Tribolium castaneum: one gene and its partner. The protein of the gene in region 2 interacts with the protein of the main gene of each other region in a biochemical or structural test. Links are inferred from orthologs where the notes say so. Each region holds a gene or a part of one and is shown on either strand. Other genes may lie near its edges.

Region 1 (3,756 bases), on a different chromosome or scaffold from region 2:
ATTTACTGAGAAATCTTTTGCAAAAAAATAAAGTTTCTAGCTTTATGTAGAAGGAAGATTCGAGGACGTAAGGACAAAATTTGTCCAATATTAGATTTTTTTAAATTTTTCGCTAAAACGTCTTATAATAAAAACAATTTTAAATCCAAAATCGACTATTGGATTCAGCAGAAAATTTTTCATAGCAATCAAATGTTTTTTTAACAATTAATCACCTTTAATCAATTAATCACATCACTATTAATTTAAATAATATCCAAAAAAGTCAAAAAAACATTTTCAAAAATTTTGTGCTCTACAATTCTTATTTAAATCTTTTTCTAACTCTTTCCGATTTTAAATAATCTTTAGAAAATACTTTATTTTCGTATTTTTAACCCCTTCTCAGAGGTTGAAACAAAAAAATCTTTTATAAAACTCTATTATCTGAAAGAAAATTTGATGTCATTTTTAGTTTTTAAATTATTGAGACAAATCAAAAATTTTTCTTTTTATTTTTACTTTTTTATGCGAAAACCAAAAGAACTAGATTAAGTAGAACATTCTTTTTTTTACAAGAAATCTAAATCTCTCATCGCCTTTTTCAAGGCGTTCTTGATGTCAGAGTTACAACACTCAACTTTGGTTTTTCTTATGGTCGCCAAATATGATACTTGTATTTTTAAAAAGTCTTTTTGTTCCTGATTAGAAAGATGTATCACATGATTTGATCAAATCTTACATGCTTTAACCTTCCAGATCCAAATTCAATTAAACCACCAACATCTAGTATGCTTCAAAACAAAATTATTGATATTTTTTCCAAGCACTCTAAGCAAAATGTTTTATCTCTATTTTAATCAGCATGTATGATTCGATAATATCATGTGATACGTCGTAATGATCAGGAATGAAAAAACTTTTTAAAAATACAAAAAGCAAATATTGCTTCCATAAGAAAAACCAAAGTTGAGTGTTGTAACTTTGACATCAAGACCGTCTTGGAAAATACGATGACAGATTTAGATTCCCTATAAAAAAGTGCCTGAAGAACGTCCTAGTTAAAAACGTCTAGTTCTTTTGGTTTTTGCTTGAAAAAAAAATAAAAACGAAATTACAAATTTCCGTTTTTTTCCAATAAATTTTCTTCCAGATAATTGTTCAGCATGCGCACCTTTGCCTTAATTTAACCGACCTGTATCTCTTATAATAACTGAGTTCCCATGGTGGAGCTCAAAAAACAGACACCTGTATATAAAAAATGCAAGTTTTTTCACAACACTTTGATTTAAAGGCTTATTTGACGCAAACATTGTTCCGCAATTGTTACGAAAGTCGGCCTTGGCTCACCTGTTAGATTTTTGTTTTCTCGGTAGGGTATGTGCTGGTGGGTCCGTCCGTCCCTGTATTTTTTCGCTAGCCCAAAGTCGATTATATAAACTAAGTTACCCTTTTTGCCCAAACCCATGAGGAAGTTGTCGGGTTTGATGTCGCGGTGGATGAAGTTCCGCGAGTGGATGAAGTCAGTACGTGATATTAATTGGTCGGCTAGGAGGAGAACTGTTTTCAGGGAGAAACGACGTGAACAAAAATTAAATAAGTCTTCTAAGGATGGTCCGAGGAGCTCCATCACCATGACGTTGTAGTCACCTTCCGAGCCGCACCATTTCATTTGGGGGATCCCCACTGGAACAGAGTGAATTTTGGGACTTTTTGGGGCCTCATACCTACCTCCCCCCTGCATCATTTTGTAAAATTTCGACTCTATGTGGAGCTGCGGGTGCCTCGTTTTGATGCATTCTAGCTTAATTGCGACCTCCTCCCCCGTGGAAATATTGGTACCTGCGAAATGGGCAAAATCGTGGTACTTTGGGTCCTTTGTTTACAGTGGAATTTCGGACGCGCCTCACCTAAATATATGTCCCCGAAGGACCCGGAGCCTATCTTGCGCCCTAGTCTGTACTTATTGCCCACTCTAAGCTCCATTCCACCTCACTTCACACAACAAAAGACATGAAATGCTGTCGTACTTCAGGCGGCCATATTAGCCATAGATATTAGCCAACTATCATAGGAAATTTGACGTAACTAGAAGGCTTAGAAATTCGTTTGTTTATTTTTAGGGAATTTACAGCTAGCGGTTGGGGTGTTTAGAATTTCACAATTATCACAGATTCGTCAAAAACGCAAAACAAGAACGATTAATTTTGCAATTTCGCGTTTCATTATGGCCTTTTGGTGACACACCACACGAAACAACTGAGAAATAGACGGCCAGCTTGCGCCACTGGGCTCATCACAGACGCGACCTTGGACGTCACGTATCACCAAACAATAAACACGGGCCCGAACGTACGTCGGGACTCGATCGGCCGCTCAATTGTCACGTCGCCAACTTCACACCATTCCGTTTTTTAATTACGCACAATTAAAACACAAAACACGAATCGTAATTAATCCGATTGAAATTACAATGACCAGTCGTTAATTCGGCTTAATTAGGGGGAAATTGCCAAATTGTGATTATCCAACTCGTGGCCAACTTCACGCCGTAGTCACCAACTGTCATAGGGTTCAAGCTTAAAATATTTAATTTCGAAAAATAACAATGCCAGAAGTGGAGCCCCGAAATATTGTCGAGAAATTCTTCAATTCCGTTGCCAATGTTCTAGTGACGCCGACGGTTTGGGTTCGGGGTAAGTTGCCCCAACTAACCTCAAACTTGTGGTTGCCCCTTGAGTGAGCAAACGTTCTGGTTTTACCAGGACATGTTCGCGATTTTTAGATAATGTTTTGGTTTAAATAGGCAGTCCAGCTCTGTCTTGGCCCTTTACATTTTGTCCCGGTTATGGTTTTATGAGCGGTTATGGCTCAAAACATTTTTTTAATTAAATCAAAATATGCAGTGAAGATTTTATTTTGCTGAACATTGGGGCTTCTGTGGAACTGTATGCAATGGGTTGACATGGATTTTTTAAAACTGAACATACAATTAACAGTTTTGTGTGTTATGTAATGATCATTGAAATAAACTCTATATCAAACAGGGTGACCCCATGAAATCTCCAGTCTTGTCCAAGTTTGGAAAAAATGCTAAAACAGGTCAATTTTAGTTTAAAGGGGGACCAAATTTTATCCTAGTTTTAACATATTTCTGCAAACCTCTGATTTTTTCGTTTTAGTGATTTTAGTTTAATAAAAACAGGAATAAAAACATGATTTTTGGTCCAAAAACGTGTTTCAATCCTCAGAGCTTGCAAAAATAATATCATTTTCGTCATATTTCTGTGATTTATTGGCTAACTTTTTAAGAAAATTTGCGCAATAATTGAGTTTTTGCTGAATAAACACTTAAAAAAGGTAATTTTTTGATCATTTTCGACCAAATTTGGCGATTTTTTCGTTCTAGTTTAATAAGAACAGGAAGAAAAACTTGTGGTCTAAAAACGTGTTTAAATCTTCAGAACTTGCAAAAATAATGCCATTTTTGACATAATTCTGTGATTTATTGGCTTATTTTTTAAGAAATTTTGTGCAATAATTGAGTTTTTGTTGAATAAACGTTTAGAAAAAGTTAATTTTTGGTCATTTTCGACCAAATTTGGTGATTTTTTTGTTTTAGTTTAATAACAACAGAAAGGATAACTTAATTTTTGGTCTGAAACCTTGTTTAAATCCTTAGAACTTGCAAACATAATGTCATCTTTGTCGTAATTCTGTGATTTATTGGCTTATTTTTTGAAAAATTTTGTGCAATAATTGAGTTTTTGCTGAATA
Region 2 (3,344 bases):
CTTTGAAAAAATCTCTGGATGTTTTCGTTATAATTCAGTTGGTTATAGCTAGGGGGTGTCTCTGACGACGATTTACTGTCGTAGTAGTCATGGTGTGGGGATATTTCGCCCAACATCACAGAATCACGTTCCTGAAAAATAATTCCTCTCGTGACATAAAGAAAATTTTGCCTTTGAAATTTTTTAGAAAAGAATAAGCCCTTTTGTTATTAAATTATTAATTTTGTTGTTTGTAATTTTAACCTGTGGCTAAAATCTCATTTGGATAATTTGTTAGTCACCAGTGCCCGTTAGTTTAAAGAATGCTAAAAATTGGGGCACTTACCATTCGTCTTAGACTTACCGAAATGGTGGGATCGGTATCTTGAGGTAAGTCTAGTTGTAAATTACTTTTATTTACTTCATCCATAAGATATTCCATAAAATTTGCAAGATCTTTGCATCTCTTTGAAACCTCATGTTTTGCCGCTTCGGACGGCCTTGACAATTCCTAAACGAATGAATTTAATTAACATCAGGAACGTTATTTACTTATTAATAACTTACCTTGTTTAGTAACAATAAAATTTCACCTTGAATCACCTTACTCTCTTTGAGTACTTCTTCAGGGATATATTTTTTCTCATCTTCCTTGTTTTGGTCAAAAATATCCGGGTTTTTCGGTCCCTAAACGACAAATTAAACTTTTTCTCTACACTTTTAATACGTACTTGTAAAACCCGATGGAGGCCTATTACAAATTCGAGACGCCTTGACCACGGATTGACAAAGCTGGACCACTCTGTTTCAATCATAACAAAACCGCCGTTTTGCACAGCAAATCTGTACGGTTTGCTGCGAAACACCGATCCAGCTATTTGGCACATGGTCATAACTGAAAGAAAACTCTCAAAATTCGTTCAAATACAACAGTTTGGAAACCAACCAGATTCGTAGACTTCCTTGAGGAACGACATGTCTTCAGGATGATAGAAATCAAAAATTGATTTTCCTAACATGTCCTGTGGCAAAAAACCGAAATTTGTGACCACGTCCGGGTCCACATGACTGAAAGTGCACGCAGCGGTGTGTCTCATGCCAAATTTGGCAAACTTTACTCGCTCTTCAGGAACTGAAAGATTTTACTCGTTTAATCCCAAGTACACAAAACTAGATTTGTACTAGATAATTTATTAATTTTTTTGCAAAGTTTTGCTTAGTGTGTCGTATTCTAGCCGTTATTTGTATCTTTACCTTTGTACGAGGAATATACAGGATTTGCTACGACTACGAGAAACATTCCCCCATTGGTGTCTAGCAGTTTTTTCGAGTCTGGCGTGTCATTCAAGTGTCTGAAGGTAACAGTCAACTGAAACGCTTGGTACGACACTGCCTTCTCAACAACACCAAAGCCGGACGATTTGAGCCCTCTATATTTACGGAGGCAGACATAAAGCGAATTTTTAATATCTGTGAATAAAAATTTCGGTGACCAAACACTTGCTTGAGTAAACAATCACCTTTGAATTTCCCTTGAGAGTCGACCAAAGGCAAAGCAATGCCAGTAGTGACTTGACTAGAAAAAGTTTCCCGATCCTTGGGATGCACAAAATCAATGAACGATCTCCCTAACCACATGTCTTTCGGAAAACCCAAAACTGCAGTCAGACTTGGGGTTGTGTACAAAACAACTCCATCATACATGGAAATGACGCAGCAGAAACCATCCTGTAATCGATTTGTTTATTTCATCGATTTTTTCTAAAGTTTTACCTCCGTGACTTTGGTTTTCTCAACGGAGGTTTCCATTGGAACGCTCGCAGCATTCAATGTCTCTTTTTCGGTGTGTTGGCTTTGTTGGTCGGTCCAGGACATTTCTTTATCTGGAGGTGGTGTCTCCGCTAACATATGCAAAAAAACATACCACAGGCAATGTGTTACACCTAAACCTTTACGCCAAGCACAAACGCATACACCCGATTAGTCTAATGTTAAAAAAATGCAAAGTATTGTAAATTTATTTATTGAAAAAAGTAAAATTGGGCAAATGTGTTTACATCCTCATCTTCCTTCTGGATAAAGTTAGAAACTTAATTTTGTTTAATGTATTTTCTAAATTTTTCCTTTCCTGACGGGTGTAAAACAACAGCACCAATAAACCATGATTATTATTAATTTAGCCGATTAGTTCGTTAGTTAATTATCATAACTGTTACCTGTGACTGGCACTGAGGGGGAGATGGGGTCGGGTTCGTTCGTTTCAACTAAATCGGTTGAAGGAACCGCTGTTTCAACAACAGGAACCGGAAGAACTTCAACACCTGAAAGAAAACCCCCAGTAATTCGAAGAATTCAATTTTGGATTACTAACCCATGGTTGCTTCAGCACTGTCTTCCTTTAAAATAACACAAATGTTTCTATTGTCTGAAGGCGCGGTTGCTGCAACTGACGAAACGTTGCCACCATTTGTTGAATTCGCCGACTTGAGTTTTTTCTTTTTGTGTTCTTTGTTACGTTTAGGTGGTTGGAATCCAATCTCGCCGCTAGAGAATTTATACAAAATTAAGTAAAAATAGTGTGATTTTTGTTACCTTTCGTCCGGATTAGTAGTCCCACAATAGCCACTACTTCTACTCGAGTTACTCCCACTGTGGCGGGACTTAGAGCTTGCACTTAAATATTAATTGTTAGAAAAAGCAAGCGCTTTTTCAGTTGCTTACCTTCTTTGCGAATTGCTGTTACTACAGCTGTTTGAATATCCTGAATCGGAGATTTTTGTGTTTGTCGTTCCGGATTCAGATTCCATAACGAATTTAAATTGCTATATCTGTATGGAAAATGAACCACAAAATCATGAATGAGTATGTTTGTAGAATCGGCAGCTAAACATGAATTATTGAATGAATTAACTAATTGTTTTGGTAATAATTACCAACGTGCTTGTGCACGAGCGTCTGGAAACAATACGCTTTCTCGGAATAATTTAATTGGAAACAGGAGCTGAATGATGAAGAAATTGATAAAATAACGTTTTAACCTTCTCTTAATAAAATAGTACGATGGCTTTCTTTTCAAACTGGTTTTGTGGAATAATTACGCGAATGCAGTTCATATGTCTCAATGGAGAAATGAATGCTGAAAAAACGCCTTCAGAGGTCGTAGTTTACACGTGATTACTTCAGTTTTAGTTGCACGTGATTTGATTAATTTTACCATTTCTGAGCGCTTTTTTAAACTTGAATTTGCGTCCCTAGCTGTGGTTTTTATCGAAGATCAAACGTTTGATTGGGGTACGTTTTGTGCGAGCACGATTACGTGAACGTGAAGGTAAGAATAGACCGACTGGAACAAAAGCTTTTAATTT

What was found. The genes of interacting proteins can lie anywhere in the genome.
Region 1: of the proteins of per (region 2) and dco, one has a biochemical effect on the other in vitro, tested with the Drosophila melanogaster proteins (4 studies listed by BioGRID, with this or other methods). The link is inferred for Tribolium castaneum from reciprocal best matches to the Drosophila melanogaster genes per and dco.

The regions. Positions count from the first base shown.
Region 1 is NC_087399.1:6,558,306-6,562,061, reverse strand, and holds the start of dco (casein kinase I), read right to left. Parts: upstream 2,267-3,756; 5' UTR 1,966-2,266; coding exon 1,890-1,965; intron 1,822-1,889; coding exon 1,330-1,821; intron 1-1,329. Other genes in the region: ND-PDSW (NADH dehydrogenase [ubiquinone] 1 beta subcomplex subunit 10), read left to right, coding at 2,588-2,675. UniProt on the Drosophila melanogaster protein: Serine/threonine-protein kinase which is involved in the circadian rhythm pathway, viability and planar cell polarity.
Region 2 is NC_087398.1:320,610-323,953, reverse strand, and holds part of per (period), read right to left. Parts: intron 2,808-3,344; 5' UTR 2,787-2,807; coding exon 2,701-2,786; intron 2,653-2,700; coding exon 2,572-2,652; intron 2,524-2,571; coding exon 2,351-2,523; intron 2,301-2,350; coding exon 2,196-2,300; intron 1,881-2,195; coding exon 1,753-1,880; intron 1,708-1,752; coding exon 1,500-1,707; intron 1,450-1,499; coding exon 1,234-1,449; intron 1,112-1,233; coding exon 926-1,111; intron 875-925; coding exon 711-874; intron 667-710; coding exon 547-666; intron 491-546; coding exon 326-490; intron 132-325; coding exon 1-131. UniProt on the Drosophila melanogaster protein: Essential for biological clock functions. Determines the period length of circadian and ultradian rhythms; an increase in PER dosage leads to shortened circadian rhythms and a decrease leads to lengthened circadian rhythms.